Linked DNA regions of Canis lupus familiaris. The protein of the gene in region 2 interacts with the protein of the main gene of each other region in a pairwise test. Links are inferred from orthologs where the notes say so. Each region holds a gene or a part of one and is shown on either strand. Other genes may lie near its edges.

Evidence for each region.
Region 1: the proteins of homeobox protein PKNOX1 (region 2) and PBX3 interact in a two-hybrid assay, tested with the Homo sapiens proteins (2 studies listed by BioGRID and IntAct). The link is inferred for Canis lupus familiaris from reciprocal best matches to the Homo sapiens genes PKNOX1 and PBX3.
Region 3: the proteins of homeobox protein PKNOX1 (region 2) and PBX2 interact in binary tests that used the Homo sapiens proteins (3 or more experiments, as listed by UniProt). The link is inferred for Canis lupus familiaris from reciprocal best matches to the Homo sapiens genes PKNOX1 and PBX2.

Annotation. Positions count from the first base shown.
Region 1 is NC_049230.1:57,498,177-57,505,887, reverse strand, and holds the start of PBX3 (pre-B-cell leukemia transcription factor 3), read left to right. Parts: upstream 1-3,555; 5' UTR 3,556-3,616; coding exon 3,617-3,816; intron 3,817-4,116; exon of another isoform or gene 4,117-4,208; intron 4,209-4,738; coding exon 4,739-4,812; intron 4,813-7,711. UniProt on the Homo sapiens protein: Transcriptional activator that binds the sequence 5'-ATCAATCAA-3'.
Region 2 is NC_049252.1:37,081,370-37,088,525, forward strand, and holds part of homeobox protein PKNOX1, read left to right. Parts: intron 1-1,011; coding exon 1,012-1,139; intron 1,140-3,572; coding exon 3,573-3,744; intron 3,745-5,671; coding exon 5,672-5,842; intron 5,843-7,156. UniProt on the Homo sapiens protein: Activates transcription in the presence of PBX1A and HOXA1.
Region 3 is NC_049233.1:1,711,686-1,719,274, reverse strand, and holds the start of PBX2 (pre-B-cell leukemia transcription factor 2), read left to right. Parts: upstream 1-3,433; 5' UTR 3,434-3,448; coding exon 3,449-3,669; intron 3,670-4,583; coding exon 4,584-4,657; intron 4,658-4,892; coding exon 4,893-5,140; intron 5,141-5,229; coding exon 5,230-5,420; intron 5,421-5,590; coding exon 5,591-5,726; intron 5,727-5,845; coding exon 5,846-5,999; intron 6,000-6,374; coding exon 6,375-6,463; intron 6,464-6,567; coding exon 6,568-6,654; intron 6,655-6,781; coding exon 6,782-6,874; 3' UTR 6,875-7,589. Other genes in the region: GPSM3 (G-protein-signaling modulator 3), read left to right, coding at 866-906, 1,092-1,213, 1,430-1,629, 1,854-1,991. UniProt on the Homo sapiens protein: Transcriptional activator that binds the sequence 5'-ATCAATCAA-3'. Activates transcription of PF4 in complex with MEIS1.

The sequences.
Region 1 (7,711 bases), on a different chromosome or scaffold from region 2:
GGAACATGTGCAATTAATTGACACTGTTTATTCGGTCTTGGAAACTAATCTAAAAGAATTTACACTTTAAATCAATGGTGACTGCCAATGAGCCTATGAGGGAATCCTTGCTAGGACCCTCTGGCTTTAACTGCAACTCATATTGATAATAACAAAAAGAGAAGCCTCCCAAGCAGAAGGTCAATCTAACCTAATCACTTAATGCAGAATTATGATATCAAATTTCCACATCACTGAATGACCATGGGTTTAGAGGTGTGTGCCATAAAATAGCTGCGGGTGTTAGACATTTAACAAGTTGTTTTATTCCTAATTGCTGGCATTTGCTTAACTGTTTTCTTAATTCTAATTTATGTTTTTATGTTCCGGTTTGTTTACATAGCCCATAGATCCCAATTGCCTTTATTTGCTTAAGTGTTTCTTTAATTTTATTTACATTTTTATATATGTTGCTTTGCTTACATAACTCATTGTTTAGGAGCAGACTAGAAATAACCATAAATCCCCATTGCTAATTAGCTTCATCCTCATGACTGATTAGTCAAGATTATGAGCCTAGAAGAAGGGCAGGAAGGTGGCCTGAGAGTGAGTCATAGGATCAGTGAATTTTATAAATGGAAGGAATTTAGAGCTTAAGGTGTCTTTCCGATAGAATTCCGTGGTTTTACATCTTCAGCATTAGAGAATTGTGAGAAAGATGGGATGCTTACTCTTACTCCTTTATGCAAAAATGTAGAAGGATTTGGTAACAGCTTTGAAAAACAAGTTAAGAATAAACAGAAAGGCCAACCAATGATGACTATGAGTAACCCATAATGGGGGCTTGAAAGAAGAATCAGAAACTTGACATATGAATGGGCTATAGAAGAGCAGGGAATATTAATGAACATGAGGGGGCTTCTTTGGAAGTAAGCAGAATGGATTGTTTGGAACTCCCTCTCCAGCAGCTGTGCAGTTTAGTTTGTAAAGATTTTAGCTTGCCTAACTGTAAGGTTAGCTATTAGCTTTGCAGTGGGGAGTATTTAAAAGTACACACAACATATGAAGGAAAGAACCTGGAACCGAGTAGCCTGCTTCATTCCAAGAATCCATCTGGCATGTAAAGAACTGCTTGTCCTACATTAAACCCTGCAGAGTAAGAGCCATTTTTCATATCTCATACCCCTATTTTTGGTTTCAGATAAGACAGCCCTCTGAGTTTAGGGAAGGAACAAGACTTTTCAGAACCATCTAACTAAAGGACCCATCTAGGATGAGCTCCATGAATCTCAAAATGGAGACACGTGGAAGTTGTTTGGGAAATGGGTTTAAAAGAAAGCTCAAGGGGCAGCCCGTGTGGCTCAGCTGTTTAGCGCCTGCCTTTGGCCCAGGGCGTGATCCTGGAGACCCGGGATCGCGTCCCACGTCGGGCTTCCCGCATGGAGCCTGCTTCTCCCTCTGCCTGTGTCTCTGCCTCCCTCTGTGTCTCTCATGAATAAATAAATAAAAATCTTTAAATAAAAAAGAAAAGAAAGCTCAAGTGACCGCAAGAGCGGGAAGTCTAGATCCCCAAATAATGTGTCTTTAGTCATTTGTAGACAGAGAACAATGTAAGAAAAGGTGTTTTGGATGTGAAAATCCGTAGCCGGGGTCCCCAACATTAAATGACTCCTGGTGATGGGGCAGGTTGATAAGTGAAATCCAGTCTATCGTAAGGTAAACTTATCTTTGTAATAAAGAGCTCGTTTTCGCAACTTTGGCCCATCTGGAGGCAGCTGAAGGCAAACCCTAAAAAAAAAAAAAAAAAAATAAATAAGTAAATAAATAAGTAAATAAATAAATAAATAAATAAATAAATAAATAAATAAATAAATAAATAAATAAAAATAAAGGCAAACCCTGCCAAAGGAGCAATCCCTGGATTATCAAGAATTGCAGACTGTGAGCTGTTGCGAGGCCTGCACTGGTGCTGGACGTCAGGCCGTTTCCCTCCTCCCACAGCCACCTCCCTCTGACACATTTCCCAACGCTCCCGTTTCAAGAGAAAGTGTCTGGCACTCAGATCCGCTCCAAGCAGACGCAGACCTGCAGCAAGCGGGACAACGGGCTCCCGCCCCGCCTGGTCACCTCGGGAGGGACGGCGCAGGGCCCGAGCGCAGCGCCCACCCGGAGCGGCGCCCTCTCGGTCCCTACGGTGATCCCGGGAGGGGCGGGTCCCCGTCCGCGGCTTCCCCGCCTCCGCCCAGGACAGTTCGAATGCTCCAATCGGGACAGCGCGTTCCTGCCTCTGTCCCGCCCCGTTCGGCTCCGAGCGCAGCACGATTGGCCTGGGACGGGCAGCGGAACCCCGAGGGGACCACCTCCTGACGGCGAGGGCGGGAAAGCGTGCCAGGCGCTGCCCTAGGCGTGAAGCGCGCGGCGCTGCGGGCGGGCACACGGGGGGCTTTGGAGCGACTTGCCCCGTGTCCCGTACGCGACTCCTCGCACCCGGGACTGTGCACAGCAGCGGCCAGGAGCCCGGGCGGGCGCGGGGCAGAGCGCTTGCAGGCCGGGGCGGCTGCTCTGGCGGGCCCAGGACGCACGCAGGCGTGAGGAGACCGCGGCGCGCTCCCGGGCGCTGGGGACCCGAGGCCGGAGAGGCCGGGCCGCGGCTCGGGGGAGGCGCCAGCGGCGGCGGCGGGAGGCGCAGCGGCCAATGAGCGCGCGCGCCGCCCTCGGGGGCGGGGCGTGCGGCGCGCTGCCCGCCCCCCCCCGCCCCCGCCCCTCCCCCCCGGCGCCGGGGCCGCAGTGAGTGAGTGGCACTGGCAGCCTGTCAATCCCTCAGTCGAGCGGCCTCCGAGCCCGGTTCGCGGCGGCGGCTGGCAGGGCGCGCGGCTCCGGCAGCGGCGGCGGCGACTCCTCCCGCCCCACAGTCTGCTGTCCGCCCGGCGCGCGGCCCGCCGGGGCCCTCCACTGGGCTCCGCGCCCCGCTGCGCCGGCCCGCCCGCTCCCAAACTTTCCTCCTCCGCCCCCTTCGCTCCCCTCGGCCCGCCCGCCGGCCTCCTCCTCCTCCTCCTCCTCCTCCGCCGCCGCCGCCGCCGCCGCCTGCCGCCGCCGCTCCCTCCCCCGGGGCCACCGGGGCTCGGATCCCGCCCGGCCGAGGCGGCGGCGGCGGCGGCGGCCGGGGGAGGGGAGTGCGCGGGCTGGGAGGGGGGCGGCGGGCGTCCCGGCAACTCGGCGGGCTCTGAGGAGCAAGTTGCGCGGGGCCGCCCGGCGGGGCGCGCGGCGGCGAGGAGGCGGCGCGGCGGCCGCGTGAGGGCAGCGGGCGCCGCTGCCTCCGCCTCCGCCACCGCCACAGCCACCGCCGCGGAGCCCGGCGCTTCCGCCCGGCGCTTCTCCTCAGCCTCGGCGGCGGCGGAAGCCGGAGCCGGGCGCCCGTCCGCGCCGCCTCAGCCGCGAGCCCCGCCGGCCGGGCCGCCCCCTCCCCGCGCGGGCGGGGAGCGCGCGGCCGCCTCCCCCTCCCCCTCCCCTCCCCCTCCCCCTCTTTCTTCTCCTCCCTCGTCGCCGCCGCCGCCGCCGCCGCCGCCGCCGCCGCCGCCGCCGCCTCAGCCTTCGCCGTAGCCGCCGCCGCCGCCCGCTCCCGCCCGCGCGCGGCGGGATGGACGATCAATCCAGGATGCTGCAGACTCTGGCCGGGGTGAACCTGGCCGGCCACTCGGTGCAGGGGGGCATGGCCCTGCCGCCTCCCCCGCACGGCCACGAAGGGGCGGACGGCGACGGCAGGAAGCAGGACATCGGCGACATCCTCCACCAGATCATGACCATCACCGACCAGAGCTTGGACGAGGCGCAAGCAAAGTTGGTGTCTCATTAAGCATCTTTTGTGTGCGTGCGGGAGCCGGGCCCGCGGCCGAGTCGGGGCCCCGGGGGCGGGGAACTTTCTCCGCAGACCGGCCGCCTGCCTGCCGGGGCCGCCGGGGGCCCTGCCCGCCCCCCCCGACGCGGGCGGGAGTCGGCAAAGTTGGTCCCGGGGCTCGGGACGGACGCGGTGCCCGCGGGTTCCCGGTGGTCCGCCTCCCGCGTCCGGCGCTCCCGCGGCCCGGCCCCCTCCCGCGGACTCCAAGCTCCCGCCCGGCCCCCGCGCGCGCTGCCCCGAGAGGGCCCCGGGCCGCGCTCGCGGGAAGTGCAACTTTCTCCCCCCGCCCGGAGTCGCGGCGCCGGGCGTCCCTCGGCGGCCGGACGGCCTCGCGGTGCGGGCGGCCGCCCCAGCCCGGCGGGCGCGGGGTGCCGGGCGGCTCCCTGGCGCGTCCGGGTGCGGGCGGCCAAGTTCTCGGGGAGGGAGGGCCGCCTCGCAAACTTTGCCGGGCTGTCACCGCCCGCTGGCCGCGCTCGGCCGGCCGCCGCCGCAGCGCCCGCTCCCCCTGCGGAGGGCGGAGGGCGGAGGGCGGACGCGGGAGCCGGTCCGCGCCGTCCCCTCCCTCGGGGCGCAGGGCTCCGCTCGGCTGTCGAGGCGCCCCGCTCGGGTTCGCGCCCTGCGGTCGCCGAGGCGGCCGCCCGCCGGACGGATGGGTCGCGCCTCGAACGGGCTGGAGCTTGAGCCGCCCGAGCTTGCGGGCTTTCGCTAACTAGTCAACTTGAGTTTCTGTTGACTTGCCCTGGTTCCAGGCGAGCCTTCCAAAAGAGAGGGCCGGGATTCAATCTTGGGTCGAACTTAAAGGAAGGCGCCATATTATTCCATAGGTGATGCTAATACCTTTGTATGTTGCGATTTGTCTTTTAGGAAACATGCTCTCAACTGTCACAGAATGAAACCTGCGCTCTTCAGCGTCCTGTGTGAGATCAAAGAGAAAACAGGTAAGAGGCTGCGCCCCGCAGCGGGCCTGGAGACCCCCGAGGTGGGGTCAGAGCTACTCCTTCCACTCTCCAGTTGAGAGCTGCTGCTTTTGGGCACCGCCATCTTTGATCATTCTCTCCTTCCCACCTCCTGGTCTTGAGGAAAAACTGCAATAAATCTGCTGGAGTCGATTTCTCAATTCCGCCCCTGGTATAAAATGAAGTGTAGATGCGGACGGGGCTGGGTCGCTGTCCCCAGGCGGCCGCCCCTGGCTGCAGGCAGGGAGGGGCCCCCCCCCACGAGCCGAGCGCCAGCCGCCTTGCCTTCTCCCGCTCCTTTCGCCTTGTTTGTATGTCAGTTTTTAAAAGGAGCAACGGGAGACTGGATGCCAGGGACCGAGTCCCTGGGAGAAGCATCTCCTAACTTTGTTTTACTTAGACACCCTAAGTAAGCTTCAGCTCCGCAGATAGATGCAATTGAACAGACTCCAGGAGGATGTCTGGATTAGGGTTTTAGTTGGAAAGGCTACTTTTAAGAAGCAGGAAAGGGTAATGATGTGTTTAGGCATACACAATGTATTACACCTATTACTTTCATTAAATTTTATGTTTGAAGTCATTACATTGTAAATACGTTTAATATGTTTTAGAAAGTAGAAAAAGGTTCACAGCAGGTTACACAATTTTTGAAGTGTTCAGTGCAGGGAACATATGAGAAAGACAGGTTTGACAGAAGTGCTGGAATAAAAACTACAAAAACATGAGTCTCTGACAGTTCATTTCAATTGAATTTTCTTGTTAGGCTTTTTAAAATTAAAGGTATTTTAGTTTTGAGGTGATAACTCAAGTGGAATCAGAAATTTAATTTAGGTGCTTTAGTTCGGATTTGGCGTTATCTGCCCTGTATTATGGCAAACAAGTGCATTAAACAAGCTTTACTGTTGATTTGTCTGGGGTGCGTGCTTGTGTGTGTGTGTGTGTGTGTGTGTGTGTGGTAGCTATATGGTATTATAAAGTTGCTGTTTTTTAAGTTGAGGCAGAGAAGAGAAAGTTAAAATCCAGGATATAGCAATATCCAAGTGATGCTTTTAAAAGATTAAATGTCATTGTATTTAAATCAAGTGTACAAATGATAGTACACTGAATATACTTGTTAGTTGGTAGGAGTATTGCCATCCCTTTAAGTAGATTTTTCACACTCAGTGCTATTCTAATTCTAAAAGTAATCAAGAGAAGATGATGGGTTATTGCTATCTATTAAAATGTATACTGAAACCATAATTAATAGAAAATATTGAGATCTTTAAAGAACAGTTTTCTTGCTTCTCATTCACATAGCATTCATGGTTTGTAAATGCTGAGTGATTCTTTTTAAGATAACATTTTACATTTTGAAAACTACAGGCATTTTAAATTACTAACTTTGTGTTGATTTTTAGCCACCTTTAGGAAGCATTGTGATTTAAAATGGTAGATAATTTTTGTCTGACTATAAAATGAGACATCAAACATTAAATCTTGAAGATTCTTAGTTTAGAAGCCTAAAAGTGTACAATTCTCAGTAAATTATGTTGCTTAATGTCCAAGGATTTTCTCGCTATCAGGGCTCCACTTCAGTTTCTGCTGACAGCTAAGCACTGGGGTATTGACTATGTTGTGAATATTAAGATTGATTCAACTTACACTGCATTATATTACTAGGGAGAGGAGATTGATATTCTTCTCCTATCACCCCCCATCTCGTTATTTGTATTTATTTTTTTGCCTTTTTAAAGTTTTGGCCTAGCCAGCTCGAGAACCAAACCCAGCAAACTGCTTTTCTTATTTGGACACTTAGCAGCAGGCCGAATTCAATTAGGAGGCATAAGTCCTCTAGTTGCTTATTTGCACAAGACTTAGTTACACTATTCTGAAAGGAAAGTATAGTCAGCCTAATGTCAAAGGTGAGTTACGAAAAAGAAACAAGTCTTTTCAGACTCTGGGATTACTGGCAGAGAGAGCTTCGGTCGGGCTCTTGCTATTTAGAAAGGAAGAGGTAGCTGACAAAGGAAGGAAATTTTTGTGTTTTGAAAATTGTTTCTGAGGCTTTCAGTGATAACTTGTAAATTAGATCCTCTTTTTATGCTTTGGCCAGCAGATTCAAGTTTGCACGTTATCTCTTTTGTAAAAAGCCAACAGCCGACAAAGAGTAAAAGGCAGCTGTCTGGGTAGAGGCATCTTCCTGCCTGCCTCTCTAAGCTGGAGAGGGACAGGATTTAAGTACCATATGATTGATGGGGGTGAAGCTCTTTCTCTCCTCTCCTTTCTACCCACCACCCATAGCTCCACCTCATCCTCCAAAACTAGTCTTAGAAAGAGACAGGGACGCTGGACCTTGTATCCTTGATTTGAAATAAAACATCTGTGTAGACATTAGTGTTACCAAGGCAAAGAACGCGGGGCAGCAAATTCCAGGCCTCCCCCTTTCTCCCCACATCTGTTCCCACAGTTGTGCTTTGGAAACATCATGAACTTATAAAATAATCATTGTAGAATATATGTATATTGCATAATGGTTTTCCTTTAGATCATTTTATTTAATCTTATAATGTGGCACCCAGAGATTATTTCTCTGCAATCTAGAGAAAGTTTACCTATTTGTAGCAGAAACTGGAATATTATGTGATGACTCTATTCTGCATAATGGAGGGGTAGGGGGTTGACTAGTGGGGAGGTGGGGGGGAAAAACTGTCACTTCAAGGGATAATGTCATTTCAGTTGTGCTTTTCCTAAAATAAGACAAAATCATTTAAAAAGAATTCCATGTATTTATAGATCTGCCAGTAGATTTTGAGGTTCCTGATCAGACAGTGAACACAGCCAGTTCTGATGCACATGAGGGATTTAGTTTGGAAAACCTCTTTTTTCTCTTCCACCACAT
Region 2 (7,156 bases):
TTATGAGAGAGAGAGAAAGAGAGAGAGAGGGAGAGAGAGAGATCTCCCAGGCCCACGGCACCGTCTACGGGCAGTGGGACGCAGGTATTCATGCACAGCTGGACCATCCGAGAGGCAAGGGCGGTGCTAGGGCCTACACTGCAGGGCTCCCCCCTTGGCTTGCACCCACCCCCGGCTGTCAGGGCGGGGTTCATGCCAGGTTGCAGGCTCTCAGGGTACATGCGGATAAGCCCCTTCCCTTGAGTGCCTGCACCCGGCTTCTTCCTCGAGGGACGGGGTTGTGGCAGCCGGGGGTGGGTAGGTGGGTCCTGGTCCTGAGGAGTTCAGGGGGCTGGTGATCTGCTCATGGGTAATTATAAGGTTCCTGCAGCAATTTGAGATTTCTTTCTGTAAACCGAATTCCTTATGTTTAAGGATTTAGATACCTTTCACCTAAGTTAGGAATCAAGTAGCTAGTTTAAAGCAACTTAACTGATAATATCTTTTAATACTGTTTCTTTAAACACAGCTGTCTTTGCCTTCTGAATATGACTTTTTTCCTCAAAATTTGTATAGCTTATGTATTCCTGAAATTAAAGAGTAGATGGGGAGAATTTCAGCCCTGTCCTGAATAGAATGTAGGGTCTGAGTGGTTTCTGTCACAAGAGTTTGAGCTATTTGTGTGTATTTCTCTTACTGCAGTGTTAGTGTGAGGATCTAGAGAGAGATTATTTGTGTGCCACTTGCCTTCAGCACTGTGTCGTAGTATATTTTTGAAAATCATAAGCATTTCTCGGATACTGGTCCTCTCGGTTTTCAAGATAATTTGGAAATTTGACCTTTGTTGTAGCCATTTTCAAAGCCTATTAAATTCAAAGGAGTTTTGTTGGTAGCATTTTTATGTACTATTGCCAGTCATCCCGCTGTGTAGCAATTTACCATTTCTGTTGCATTTGTTTCTGTTTGAGAATAGAGTACGTAGTAGCAGTTTATGTTGTGTTTAGTAACCAAATTCTCCTCCTCCCTTCACAGATGCAAGTAGTAACAGAGTTAAAAACGGAGCAAGATCCCAACTGCTCTGAACCTGATGTGGAAGGAGTGAGCCCTCCACCCGTGGGGTCCCAGACGCCAATGGATGCAGACAAGCAGGCCATTTATAGGTAGCAATGAGATGTGATGCATGTGGGTTTTTAGCAGGAATAACAGGAGTAGAGAACCTTGTTAAATGGAATATACTAGAACTATTAGGTAGGCAGGGTAGGGAAGTAGGTGATAACCACTGGAGTGAGAAGTTTGTCAAGTTAAGATGTTACTCCTAATACCTTAAAAGCTTTGGAATAGAAATCTATGTTTTAGTCAATCTTGTAAAAAGAAACCTTTAGGCCAGGGTAGTTTTACTGGAGAATCCCGTAAAGGAAGAGAGAATGCTTCCCAATACATCACTCTGGTACTAAAGCCAGATAAAGACAATACAAAAAAGAAAAATACACACCGGTGTGCCTCATGAACTTAAGCATAAAAATCACTAATCAAATATTAAATCCAGCAGCACATAGAAAGAATAACATACACTGACCAAGTGGAATCTATCCCACGAACTCAAAACTGATTCACTAGTCAAACAGTCAACCAGTGAGGCCCACAACATGATCATACCAAATGACACAGGAAAGCATTTGACAAAAGTCAGCAGCTAATTATGATTAAAAACTGTCAGCAGAGTGGCAATAGAGGAAAACTTCCCTGACCTGATGAAAGGCAACCTCAAAAGGTCTATAGTTCTCATCATAGTTAATGGCCAAAGACTGTTTTCCTCCGAGCTTGGGCATAAGCAGAGATGTCCACCCTGACTCAACCCATTCACACCGCCGTAATGAAAGTCCTAGCCAGTGCAGTAAGGCACTTTTCTTACTTATAGAAAAGGGATACCAGATTAGAAAGGAAGAAATAAAACTGGCTCTGTGTACAAACAACATAATTGTCTATGTAGAAAATCCCAAGGATTACCGAAAAACTCCCAGAACTACTTAAGTAAGTTTAATAAGGTCACAGATTACAAGAGCTACCAATCCCATTTCTTTCTTTCTTTTTTTTTTTAAGATTTTATTTATTTATTCATGAGAGAGACACACACAGAGAGCGAGGCAGAGACACAGGCAGAGGGAGAAGCAGGCTCCATGCAGGGAGCCCGACATGGGACTCAATCCCGGGTCTCCAGGATCACACCCCGGGCTGCAGGTGGCACTAAACTGCTGTGCCACTGGGGCTGCCCACCAATCCCATTTCTATATGAGTGATATACAATTAGAAGCTGAAATTTAAAAAGACAATACTATTTACAAAAGCTCCAAAAAATTTAGGTATAAATCTAACAAAACACAGAAACTTTATGCTGAAAAACTAGAATGCCAATGCAACAATCAAAGAAAACCTATATTAATGGTGAGACACACCATATTCATGGTTTGAAAGGGTCAACATAGTAAAGATGTCCTTTCTCTTAAAATTGACTTGTAGATTTACCACAATTCCAATTAAAGCCTTAGCAGGATATTTTTGTACATATGGACGAGTTAATTCTAATTTTATACGGAAGGCAAAAGAGCTAGACTTGCTAAAACAGCGTTGAAAACAAAGAACAAAGTTGGATTTTGAGATGTACTATGTATGGTATTACAGTAACGAGGACGTGGTGATGGTGGTGAAGGCATAGGATCAGTGTCACTGATAGAGTCCAGAAGTAGATGTACAAAAACATGATTTATTTGATCTTTGACCAAGGCACAAACACAGTTTCTTGGAGTAGAGGTAGAGTTTCCAACAAGCGGTGTTGGAACAATTAGACATTCATATGCTAAAGGAAGATCCTTGACCTAATCTCACATTTTATATGGAAGTTTACTCAAAATGGAGTATAGATCTATTTTTTAAAAAAAAGATTTTATTTATTTATTCATGAGAGACACAGAGAGAGAGAGGCAGAGACACAGGCAGAGAATCAGGCTCCATGCAGGGAGCTCGATGCAGGATTCGATCCTGGGACTCCAGGATCACACCGTGGGCCCAGAGCAGGCGCTTAACCGCTGAGCCACCCAGGCATCCCTGGAGTATAGATCTAAACATAAAATTTAAAACTACATAAAACTGATCTGTCCACACAGTAAAATATTATTCAGCCACAAAAAGGAACAAAGTATTGGGTGAGCCTGGGAAACACCACGCTAAGGAAGCTAGATGCCAAAGGGCACGTGTGGTATAATTCCGTTTATACGAGATGTCTAGAACTGGCAAATCTGTAGGACAAAGTCGGTAGTGGTGGCCTGGGGCTGGGCTTTGGGGGAAAATGGGCAGTGACTGCTCATGGCTACCAGGTTTCTTTTGGGGGAGGATGAAAAAGCTGCAGAATTGACCTTGGTGATGGTTGCAGCGCTCTGTGAACAGAGTAGACACCATTGGATTGTACACTGTAAGCAGATAAATTGTAGCACGTGAACTGTGTCTCAACAAAGCTGTTACACTAACGAATGCGTACATACATGCTAAAATATTCTCGTGCAAATGTAGAACATATATTTTACATTTTTTCCCCCCAGGCATCCACTATTTCCATTATTAGCTTTGTTGTTTGAAAAATGTGAACAATCTACACAGGGCTCAGAAGGCACAACTTCTGCCAGTTTTGACGTAGATATTGAAAATTTTGTAAGGAAGCAAGAGAAGGAAGGAAAACCTTTCTTCTGTGAAGATCCGGAAACTGACAATTTAGTAAGTAAAATATGTGTTTTATTCTTATTTTTTTACTTCTTCCAAATTTAAGATCCATTCAATAAATTTTAAACTTCAAAGTAGGACTTTAGAATGTAGTTCTGCTAAAGGGGAGAAAGTTCATGAAATAACTTCCTGTGTGTGTGACCTGTCCCCACGTCTTCCAGCCTTCTCTGGTGACCTTTACTGTAGGGATCAAAGGAGATCATCTAAGCCTGCATCACAGAGGGACTGAGGATTCAGTTCTTTTGTAAATATTTGTGAAGTTTGTTGGGGTTGGTGTGCTTACGTGCCCTGCGTCTCGGGCATGTGTGTGCCCCACTCCTGTTCTTGGCTTTTCCCTGATCGTGGCCACACAACCTTATTGTCCAGGACAGACCTTTAGCTCTGTCTTAGGCTGGCAGTAAGGTGTGGTGGGCCACAAGGCTGATGCAGGCACAGAGCCGGCCAGGCTTAACAAAGGGCCCCCACACTTCTCACCGCGTCCCCTGGCCTTTCTGCCTCACGTGGTGGGTGCCCTCCTCCCTGCCTCGGGAGGTTCGGGGTTCCCTGTGCTGTCTAAAGGAACTGCAGAATTTGTCAGAGTTAACATCCCTGCTGCACCCAAAGGAGCACTGCCCTTCTGTGCCAGTGGAGCACGTTAGCCTGCGTTGGGGGGACACGCCCCTTCCCTGGGTTTCCTTTACCGCCTGCTAAGCCCCAGCCCAAAACCTTAGGGCCCTTATCAGCAGAAAAGCATCTTTAGAAAACTTTTTCCTGAATAAATGTCTCGGATCTTTGTTGTTTGTATGTATGTGTATATGTATTTATTTTTAAGATTTTATTTATTTATTCATGAGAGACACACAGAGAGGCAGAGACATAGGCAGAGGGAGAAGCAGGCTCCCTGCGGAGAGCCCGATGTGGGACTGGATCCCGGGACCCCAGGGTCACGCCTTGGGCCGAAGGCAGGCGCTCAACCGCTGAGCCACCAGGCATCCCCCTTTGTTGTTTTTTAATTTCTCATTATACGTTCAACTCTTGGTGCCTAGTGGGCTTTACCAATGCGCTGTCTGAGCTGGAGTCAGCTTCCTCAGCTTTGACCTGGGTCCAACAGTGCCCGCCCTGTGGGGTGAGCAGCAGGAGCTGTCCCCGCCTCTGGATCTCTGGTCCTCAGCCAGCAGTGTGTGGGCCGCGGGTGTAGCCGGAGGGACCCAGGCTCTTCTGACTGGCGTTCCAGCACAGGGCCTAGCAGAGCTGGGCACCCAGTCACTCGCTCTGGTGACCGATGGACTGGTTCGTTCCACAGCACCTACGGATTACTGCCTCCAGGGTCACAGGGAAGGAGCTGGGCGTTGGGTTGTGGATTCACAGGCCTGTAGTGCTTATTATTACAGACCCTTACCTACTGCGGTGGGCCGGGTTACTCTGAAACTTAGTAAAGTCACCATAAAACCTTTGTAAAAATCTTAAAAGGGCTGATCTAGTGCTGGGGGCAGAGTTCTTAGGCTTGACACCGAAAGCACAGGCCATAGAAGGCAGAGCAGGTAAATTAAGTTTTATCAAAATTAAGAGCCGCCTGTGAGATGGGTACGGATTCCTCCCCATTTACAGGTGAAGAAACCGGAGCAGAGGGAGGGGGACCTTGCTCTTTGTGTAGCAGGTCAGTGGGGCCGAGTCGAGGCCCGGCTGCCTCCGGGTGCTGTGACTCCCCAAGGACGGCACGGGGACCATCTGTGTCCCCACACGCCAGATGCAGCGAAAGTGCCAAAGGTCTGTGGCGCTGGGGTGACTCGTCGTCTTGCCTGGTTTCTGACGGGATTCCCCTCCCGTCGGGGGCTGCGCGGCAGTCAGGCCAATACCCGACAGTAGTTAGGTGCCGAGGATTATAATTTACCCTTAAGCTGTCATTTCCTTGTCTGAACGCCTTCATTTTCTCTGCTTCTAGATGGTCAAAGCGATCCAGGTTTTACGTATTCATCTTCTTGAGCTGGAAAAGGTTAATGAACTGTGCAAAGATTTCTGCAGTCGCTACATTGCTTGTCTAAAAACGAAAATGAACAGTGAGACTCTCCTGAGCGGAGAACCTGGAAGCCCGTACTCCCCTGTCCAGTCCCAGGTATCTATGTGGGTCCTGCTGAGCTTCGGGGTGACTGTACGATCTGCACGGGTGACGGGTGCTGTCCTCTGAGACCAGTAGCCCTGTCAGAGCCCCGGGCTGTCTTAGGGCCAACCTCCAGCCAGGAGGACAGGCCCTCGAGGCGTCGTGCAATAAGTGGGGTGAGGCCTCGACTTGTGTACCAGACCCTGGATCCCACCTTTCTGGAGGATGGACTGCCATTCACTGCTTTCCTTTTTCTTTGGAATATGGTTTTTGTTATTTCTTAAAATTGTGGTAAAATACATGTCATAAAACGTAGCATCTTAATCATTTTTAAGTGTACAGTTCGGTGGCATTAAGCATCTTCCCGCTGCTGTGCAAACCATCGTCACCATCCATCTCCAGAGCTTTCCATCTTCGTAGACTGAAATGCTGTCCTCATTAAATGCTGACTCTCCACCTTCCCTCCCCCGCCCCTGGCCCCTACATTCTACTTGCTGTCTCTGTGAGTTTGATTAGTCTACGTACCTCATGTAGGGGATCGTACCGTATTTGTCCTTTTGTGTTTGACACGATGTCCTCAGGGTTCATCCGTTTTGAAGCACTATTATACTTGAGCCATTCTGTGGTACGTAGTGACACTCGTGGTTGTAGTGTGCGGTTCTCCGATGGCTAATGGTGTTGACCTTCTTTTCATGAGCATGTTTGCCATCGGTGGATCCTCCTTGGTAGAATGCCTGTTCATGTCTTTAGCTCATTTTCCTTCTTTTTCTTTCTTTCTTTCTTTCTTTCCTTTTTTTTTTTTTTAAGAATCTTCTTTTTTTTAAATTTTATTTATTTGTTTATTTGTGAAAGACAGAGAGAGAGGCAGACACAGGCAGAGGGAGAAGCAGGACCCATGCAGGGAGCCCGACATGGGACTCGATCCCAGGTCTCCAGGATCACGCCCTGGGCTGAAGGCGGCGCTAAACCGCTGAGCCACCCGGGCTGCCCTAAGTACCTGTCTTTTATTGGCTGTATGGTTTGTAAATATTTTTGCCCAAGTCTGTAGCTTATCTTTTCATCCACTTAACAGGATTTTTCACAGAGCAAACACTTTAAATTTTGACCAAGTCCCCTTTATCAACTTTTCCTTTGATGAATTGTGCTTTTGGTGTTAAGTCTAAGAACTCTGCCCTGCCTTAGATCCCAAAGATTTTCTGTAGTTTTTTTTTTTTTTCTGAAAGTTTTATATTTTACATTTAAATCCATGACCCATTTATTTTTATTAAAAAAATTTTTTTTCCATGACCCATTTTGAGTTAACTTTTGTATAAAGTACAAGTTTAGGCT
Region 3 (7,589 bases), on a different chromosome or scaffold from region 2:
TCCTGCTCCCACCCTGTGCCAGCCAGCCTGACCAGCAGTGAGACCAAGCCAGAAAGGTGGTTGTCTCCCTATTCCATTCCTACATCTTTTATTCATGGCCAGAGGAAAGTTTCCCCTGCCCCTTGGCTCACATTTGGTACATATCTTGTCCCCTGAATAGACTGTAAGCACCTAGAGGGCAGGGATAACTATTTGATAACTCCATATTTATGGAATAGTGTGTGTTGGTTGGCACCACTGCTAGGGGTATGTGTACATGTTTCATGGCCCAATATCCCTGGATCTGAGTCCTCTGCTTCCCAATGCAACCATGCCCCTCCCAGTTCCCATAAGTCTGCAGGAAACTGGGATACAGGGAAGGGTCAAAGCCTACATTGGGGTCCTCTTAGGAAAGGGACCTGAGGAAGGGAGAGGGGCTCTGAAGAGCAAAACCACTTCCTGTGTAGCTAGTTCCTGTGTTGACAGAAAGAGCTGAAGGGGAGGAGGGGAGTGGAGAGAACAGAGCCTGGCCTTGGGGGGGTCTACTGAGCCTCTGGAGACGAGGAGGCCAAGAGTCCTTCCCCACCATGAACCTCCTCCACTACTGCATCTGGAGGAGCTTTTCCCAGTCTCTGTGTTCCCCTGGGGCAAGAGCGGTCAAGCAAGCAGTTTGGGTGGGAAAAGAGAACTGGAGGAAGTTGAAAGGGATGGGCGGGGCCAGTGGGGGGGCTGACCAGGAACCCAGCTTCCTGCTCAGTACCCAGGCATCCAGCCCCTGGCTCACCCCCACCCCTTCCAGCCCCCACTCCCCTCAGGAACCTAGAGTTCCAGCCCTCCTTCCAAATCCCAGCTATCCCTCCCCCATCAGTTTCTCTCCCCCCAGGGGATGGAGGCCGAGAGACCCCAGGAGGAAGAGGATGGTGAACAGGTGAGCTGCGCACTGGGTCGGGGAGGCTAACACTGGGAGAAAGGGAGGTGATGCGACATAGGGCAGAGACGTACTGACAGGGGATTCAGGGGACTTGGAAGGGCTTGGGCAAACTGAGGCAGGAACAGAGACACAGAGAGAGGAAATGGGCTGTTGGCCCACCACTCCCCCGCCTGACTGGACCGGATGTCTCCCAGCATCAAGGCCCCCATCAGGATGAGCAGGACTGGCCCCCTGTGAATGCCACCACTAGGCCTTGGCGATCTGCTCCTCCGTCCCCTCCTCCTCCAGGGACCCGCCACACAGGTACCCTCACCCGGCCAGGGAGCTCCCTGACCTTGGTGCCCACATCCTTCCTGATCCCATTACCAAGGCCATTCCCATCGTGGGCCCTCTCTCCATCTCCTAACTCCCCACTACTCCCCCTCAGCTCTGACCACAAGTTCCTAATCACCTTGCACCACCACCCCTCCTGTCTGCCAATTTCTCTGGGTCTCTGAGCCCTACCCTTCCTTTCCCCAGCCCTGGGGCCCTGCTCCGCCTCCCTGCTCTCCCTACAGACTGAGCTCCTTCTGGATTTGGTGGCTGAGGCCCAGTCCCGCCGCCTAGAGGAGCAAAGAGCCACCTTCCACATCCCCCAGAACCCCCCAAGCATAGCCCCAGCCCCACTTCGGCCTCTTGAGGAGAGAGAACAGCTCTACAGCACTATCCTCAGTCACCAGGTGAGACGCCTCCCCAGAAGGCAAGACCCAGGCTTGCCAGTTCGTTGGCCCTTGTTGTCTTTTGGGCCCTACTCCTCATTTCCCCAGCATCCACCCCTTTGCCAGGCCTGATCCCCTCCATCCCCATCACAGGTGCCCTATAGACCCCTTTCATCAGCCTTGGCTCCTTTCAGGGCCTATTCCTCTTAAAATATTACCGACAACCTCCCTTCCCTCTACTCCAGAGCCAGCGGATGGAAGCCCAGCGGTCAGAGCCTCCCCTACCCCCAGGGGGACAGGAGCTCCTGGAGTTGCTGCTGAGAGTTCAGGGTGGGGGTCGAATGGAGGAGCAAAGGTCTCGGCCCCCCACACATACCTGCTGAGACTTGAGCCCCTCCCCCCCACCAGGCACTCCGCACTCCTGGGGCTCAAAGCTGGGCAGCCCATTGCATGCCCTCTTCTCCTGCTTGGCAGGGGCGCCAGAGACTGAAGGACCTGGGAGAAATCTCAATATTCATCACCCTCATCCACCTTTCTGGGGAATAGAGGGGGTAAAAGTCCACAAACCCTGGGAATAGTCAAGGTAGGATGGTCATTTGACTCCCTTCGCCAGTACACGGCAGTTTGAAGAGGTGAGAGGATCCTAGCCACTGAGGGACACCCCCTCCTCTGATCCCAAGAAGTGGCTGGAAGTCTTGGTCCTGAGCTGTGGAGACACCCCAGTCAGACACCCATAAGGCAGAATCTGAGGGCTCAGGCCTCCATCTCCCTAGAAAAGGCAAATCTCCCAAGGTTAGGGCCTTGAGACACATTAAGAAGGGAGACAGGGCATTGCAAAAGAGACAGACCATCCTCCCACCCTACCACCAGCACCCCCAGCCCCCAGGACTGAGGGGCCTACAGGCTGTGAACCGACACTTAGCACTGCCCACCCCGCCTCCCCACTGCTGCTCGAGTCTGATGTTCTGGTTGTACGAATAAACGTAATTATCCTCTGGACTAAAAGAAGACTGGTGTTGAGGGCTGTGGGGGAGGGGTACGGGGGGGGCAGGAAGGTGAGGCCAGAGGCCGCCTCTCTCCCTAGCCTGGCGAGAGGCCAGCTCCCCTCCCTGGCTGGTTAATTACTGGCTCATTAAGCAGCGGCTGGAGACTTCCCTAATTATACCCCCCCAGCCCCCCTTTCCTGGTTTTAATTAAGTATAACAGGGAGGGGAGTCATTAGGACAAGAAATATGAACGGAACTGTCTGCGAACCCGGGCATTCTAGCGGCCGGAGTCCACGGCACCTGGAACCCCGACTCGGAGCCCCGGCGGCGGCCCCCCAGCCCCGACCCGCGCCGCCCTCCCGCCCCGGCCTCCGCTCCTCTCCCCCGGCCTCCAGCCTCCTCCCCTCGCCCCCTCGTCCCTCTCCCCTCCTCCACTCGGTCCCAGTTCCTCGGTTTCTGTGTGTCTCTCTCCGCCCCCAGCTCCTCCCCGTTCCTCCTCTCTTCTCCCCTCCTCTTCCTCCCCGGCTCCCCTCCCCCAGCCTCCCTCCCTCGCTCCCCCCCTCCGCCCTCCTCCCTCCTCCCTCTCTCGCTCACACACACCCCCGCTTGGGCCTCCTCTCTCTCTCCGGCTCCATTTTCTCCGCCGCCGGGGGCCGGGGTCTCCTGTGGGGGGCCCAGCCGGTACCCCAGGTCTCCCTTCGGGGTGGGGGTGAACCCCCGGGGGAGCCGGGAGGGGGGAACGGGTGGGGGTTAGGGCGGAGGGAGCAGCGGCCCCACCGAGTTTGGGGGTGGGGAAGTAACTAGGCGGGGGGAGGGGCGGAGCAGGGAGGGGGCCTCAGGGCCCCCCCCCAACTATGGACGAGCGGCTGCTGGGGCCGCCCCCTCCGGGCGGGGGCCGCGGGGGCCTGGGATTGGTGGGTGGGGAGCCCGGGGGCCCTGGCGAGCCTCCCGGCGGCGGAGACCCCGGTGGGGGTAGCGGGGGGGTCCCGGGAGGCCGAGGGAAGCAAGACATCGGGGACATTCTGCAGCAGATAATGACCATCACCGACCAGAGCCTGGACGAGGCCCAGGCCAAGTGAGTGCCCCCACCCCGGGACCCTACACAGACCCAACAGAAGCCCCATTCACAAGAATCTTCTGGGAGTCCCCACCCCCACCCCCCACTCCAGGACCCCCTCCAGGATCCTACAGCTTCTTCTCTCCTTACTCCTGGGAGCCCCAAGATGAGCCATCCCTCTCAAACCCCCCTTCACCACCAGGCCCTGAAGCCTTCAAAGAAGGGAACCCAGGGTGGTCTCACCGCAACCCCATCCCCAACCCCTCACTGACCCCCATACTCCCCTGGAACATCTTTTCCATCTCCAGAGCCCTGTTCTGGCTCTCTGATTAAGAAATTGCTATGCTGTCTTCCTAACTCTCCATCCAGCCCACCCCCACCCCATCCTCTCCAGACCTCAGCCCTCCCCAAAGCTCCTACCACTCCTCTCCACCATGACCCAGCATCCATGTGTCCCCACCCAGCCCGTGGCCCCTGCTCAGCCAGACTGGGATCATCAGAGCCTCCTGGCTTCCTCAGTCCCAGGACCCTCCGCTCACACCTATGTTGAACTTCTCCAGCCCCTCTCTGGCACCTCAAACTCCGACTCTTCTCCCAGTCTCTGTCTCTTTTCCTCTGAAATCTACCTAGTCACCCTCATGTCGGCAGTCACCCCCAGACTCCCCTTCTAGACCCATTTCCCAGGGCCCCGTTCAAGCCCATGGGGCCTTTATCTTGCTGCCTGCACCTTCCTAAAGCCAAACAGCCCCCACATCTCCACATTCCAGGAGCTGACCTCTTTCCAAGAAGCCCCCAACTCCATCCTGCCCCCACCCCCACTTTCTACCTCCCTTCTCGTTCCGGGCTGCCCTCTTTCTCACCTTCATGGTCTCCCCAACCCCACCCCATCTCTGTTTCTATTGACCCTCAACTGTTCTCCCCTTCCTCCCAAGGAAACACGCCCTCAACTGCCACCGCATGAAGCCTGCTCTCTTTAGTGTTCTGTGTGAAATCAAGGAGAAAACCGGTACGTGGGTCCCCCTCTGACTCCTCACCTCTGGGGACTGAACCCTGTTCTTTATAGGAGTCAGGCCAAGAGTTTGACATCTTGGGGCCCTGAGGACAGTAGGGGTTAGGTAAGATGCTAGGAGGAACTGGGAAGGGAACCAGAGCCTGGGAACATGGGTCTCCAGGAGCCACCAGGTGGGCTGAGAGCTGGCCATGGGCTCCCTGGTCCCTGAGTTCACTCACCTGCCTGCTAGGCCTCAGCATCCGAAGCTCCCAAGAGGAGGAGCCGGTGGACCCACAGCTCATGCGCCTGGACAACATGCTTCTGGCAGAGGGTGTGGCTGGACCGGAGAAAGGGGGGGGCTCAGCCGCAGCTGCTGCAGCTGCTGCAGCCTCCGGGGGCGGCGTGTCCCCTGACAACTCCATTGAGCACTCCGACTACCGCAGCAAACTTGCCCAGATCCGCCACATCTACCACTCAGAGCTGGAGAAGTATGAGCAGGTTAGGAGATGAGGCTGGAGTGGGTGAGAGGAGAGGCTCCTAATGGGGAATCCCAAGGCTCCTCACAGCCCACGGGCCCCCTGCTGCAGGCCTGTAACGAGTTCACGACCCACGTCATGAACCTGCTGAGGGAGCAGAGTCGCACACGGCCTGTGGCACCCAAGGAGATGGAGCGCATGGTGAGCATCATCCATCGCAAGTTCAGTGCCATCCAGATGCAGCTCAAGCAGAGCACCTGTGAGGCTGTCATGATCCTGCGTTCCCGCTTCTTGGATGCCAGGTGGGGCTCGGGTGCCCAGGCGAGCCCCTGACCCAGGGTTCCCCCAAGCCCCTGGGCCACCATGTGACACAACATGGCGCTCCATGGCAATGGCCCCCTCTAGAATGATGCGAGATGGAGGCCCTGCCAGGACAGCTGGCCTTCTCACCACCATGCTCCCTCCTCTGTAGACGAAAACGCCGCAACTTCAGCAAACAGGCCACTGAGGTCCTCAATGAGTATTTCTACTCCCACCTGAGTAACCCATATCCTAGTGAGGAGGCTAAGGAGGAGCTTGCCAAGAAGTGCGGAATCACTGTCTCTCAGGTACTGGGGAGGCTTGCAGGAGCAGTGGGGTTCAGGTCAAAAGCTCTCTGATTCTAACTGAGAGGCTGGTGGGGGGAAAGGTCTGCACCTGACCCTCCTTTATGCTCAACACCCAACAGGTCTCCAACTGGTTTGGCAACAAACGGATTCGCTATAAGAAAAATATTGGAAAGTTCCAAGAGGAGGCAAACATCTATGCCGTCAAGACCGCCGTGTCAGTCACCCAGGGGGGTCACAGCCGCACCAGCTCCCCGACACCCCCTTCCTCTGCAGGTGGACCCCACTGTCATCCTGGCTATCTTGCACGCTTCCTGCCTTTGTTCCCACTTCCTATCTAGGCAGGATCTCAGCAGAGTAGGGGCCTTTTGGGGTGAGAGGGACCTAGCTGAGGTGGGGTGGAGATGTCAGGAGGTAAAGGCCATCCCAGCGAAGCTACTTCTGTCCTCCAGCAAGTGGCCGGGGAGCCACAGGAGAGGCTCAGAAACAGCCTGCTCCTCCTTGTTGTAGTGCCTTAGGAATAAATTGCATATAGTGGCACCCCCTTAGAAATAGTTCTGAGGGCTTCTTGGAAACAGCACTGTAGTGAGCCTTCTGTCTGCTGTCACAGGTTGTTACACTCTTCCCTAATTCCCTCTCTGTTCTCCCAAGGCTCTGGCGGCTCTTTCAATCTCTCAGGATCCGGAGACATGTTTCTGGGGATGCCGGGGCTCAACGGAGATTCCTACTCTGCTTCCCAGGTCAGGTGGCCCATGTCCCCTCCATTGGGGCTTTCCCAAACTCTTGCCTGCTCTTCAGAATATAAGACGCCTCACAGTGTCATACCCTTCTTTGCTGCCTGCAGGTGGAATCACTGCGACACTCAATGGGGCCAGGGGGCTACGGGGATAACCTTGCGGGAGGCCAGATGTACAGCCCTCGGGAAATGAGAGTGAGTGGATACCCGATGCTCCCTCTGTCTACCTCTCACCCAGACAGGAGGGCCTTTCCCCTGGTGGCCTTGTCTCCCACACTGAATCTCCCAGAGCCCTGCCCCAACCAACTCTCTCTTTTTTTAGGCCAACGGTGGCTGGCAGGAGGCTGTAACCCCGTCCTCAGTGACATCTCCGACAGAGGGACCAGGGAGCGTTCACTCTGACACTTCCAACTGATCTTGCCCCTCAGGGCCAGAGGGGTGGGGGCTCACAAGGCGACTCTTGAAGAGGACGCAGGCATCCAGAGGACAAACCCCAGACACAGGAGAAGCACAAGACAGAGAAGGGCGAATGGGGTCATCCTGTCCCCAACCAGACTGTCTCAGTGCTGGGGGTGCTAACTACGTGGCAGGGAGAATGGGGTCCCCTAAGGGGAGAGTGGGGTCTGTCTTCCCTTTTTTCAGTCTTTTTCTCTCACATAAACCCCGCAGCCCAGAGTCCTATTGTTCAGATCACCTTCCCCTTGCTCTACCCACCATATTGTATTCCATTTCTTTCTCTGGGCTCCCCCCTCCCCCACCCCACTTACCTGCTCTGGGATCTGTGGAGAAGCCAGCCCTGCCTGACCAGATGCCAAAACTGGGGACATGACTTCTGGACAGAGGACACGGGCCATGAGCCCTGTTCCTCCCTACCCCCTGCCCCTCCAGATGGCTTTATTACCTCATACGCAGCTCATCTTAAACCAATAGAATCGTTCGGTGGACGAGAGTGTCTGACTCAGATATCTACCTCGGAGGGAGTTTCTGCTACTTTAGGGAGTTGTTGACTGGGCTTAGGGCTTGATTTTTTTTTTTTCTTTTTTCTTTTTTTTTTTTTTTGTTAAGTAAAGAAACGAAACCCTGGAATCCATCTGTGCTTTTTAATTTTTTTTTTTTTTATTGCTGTAATT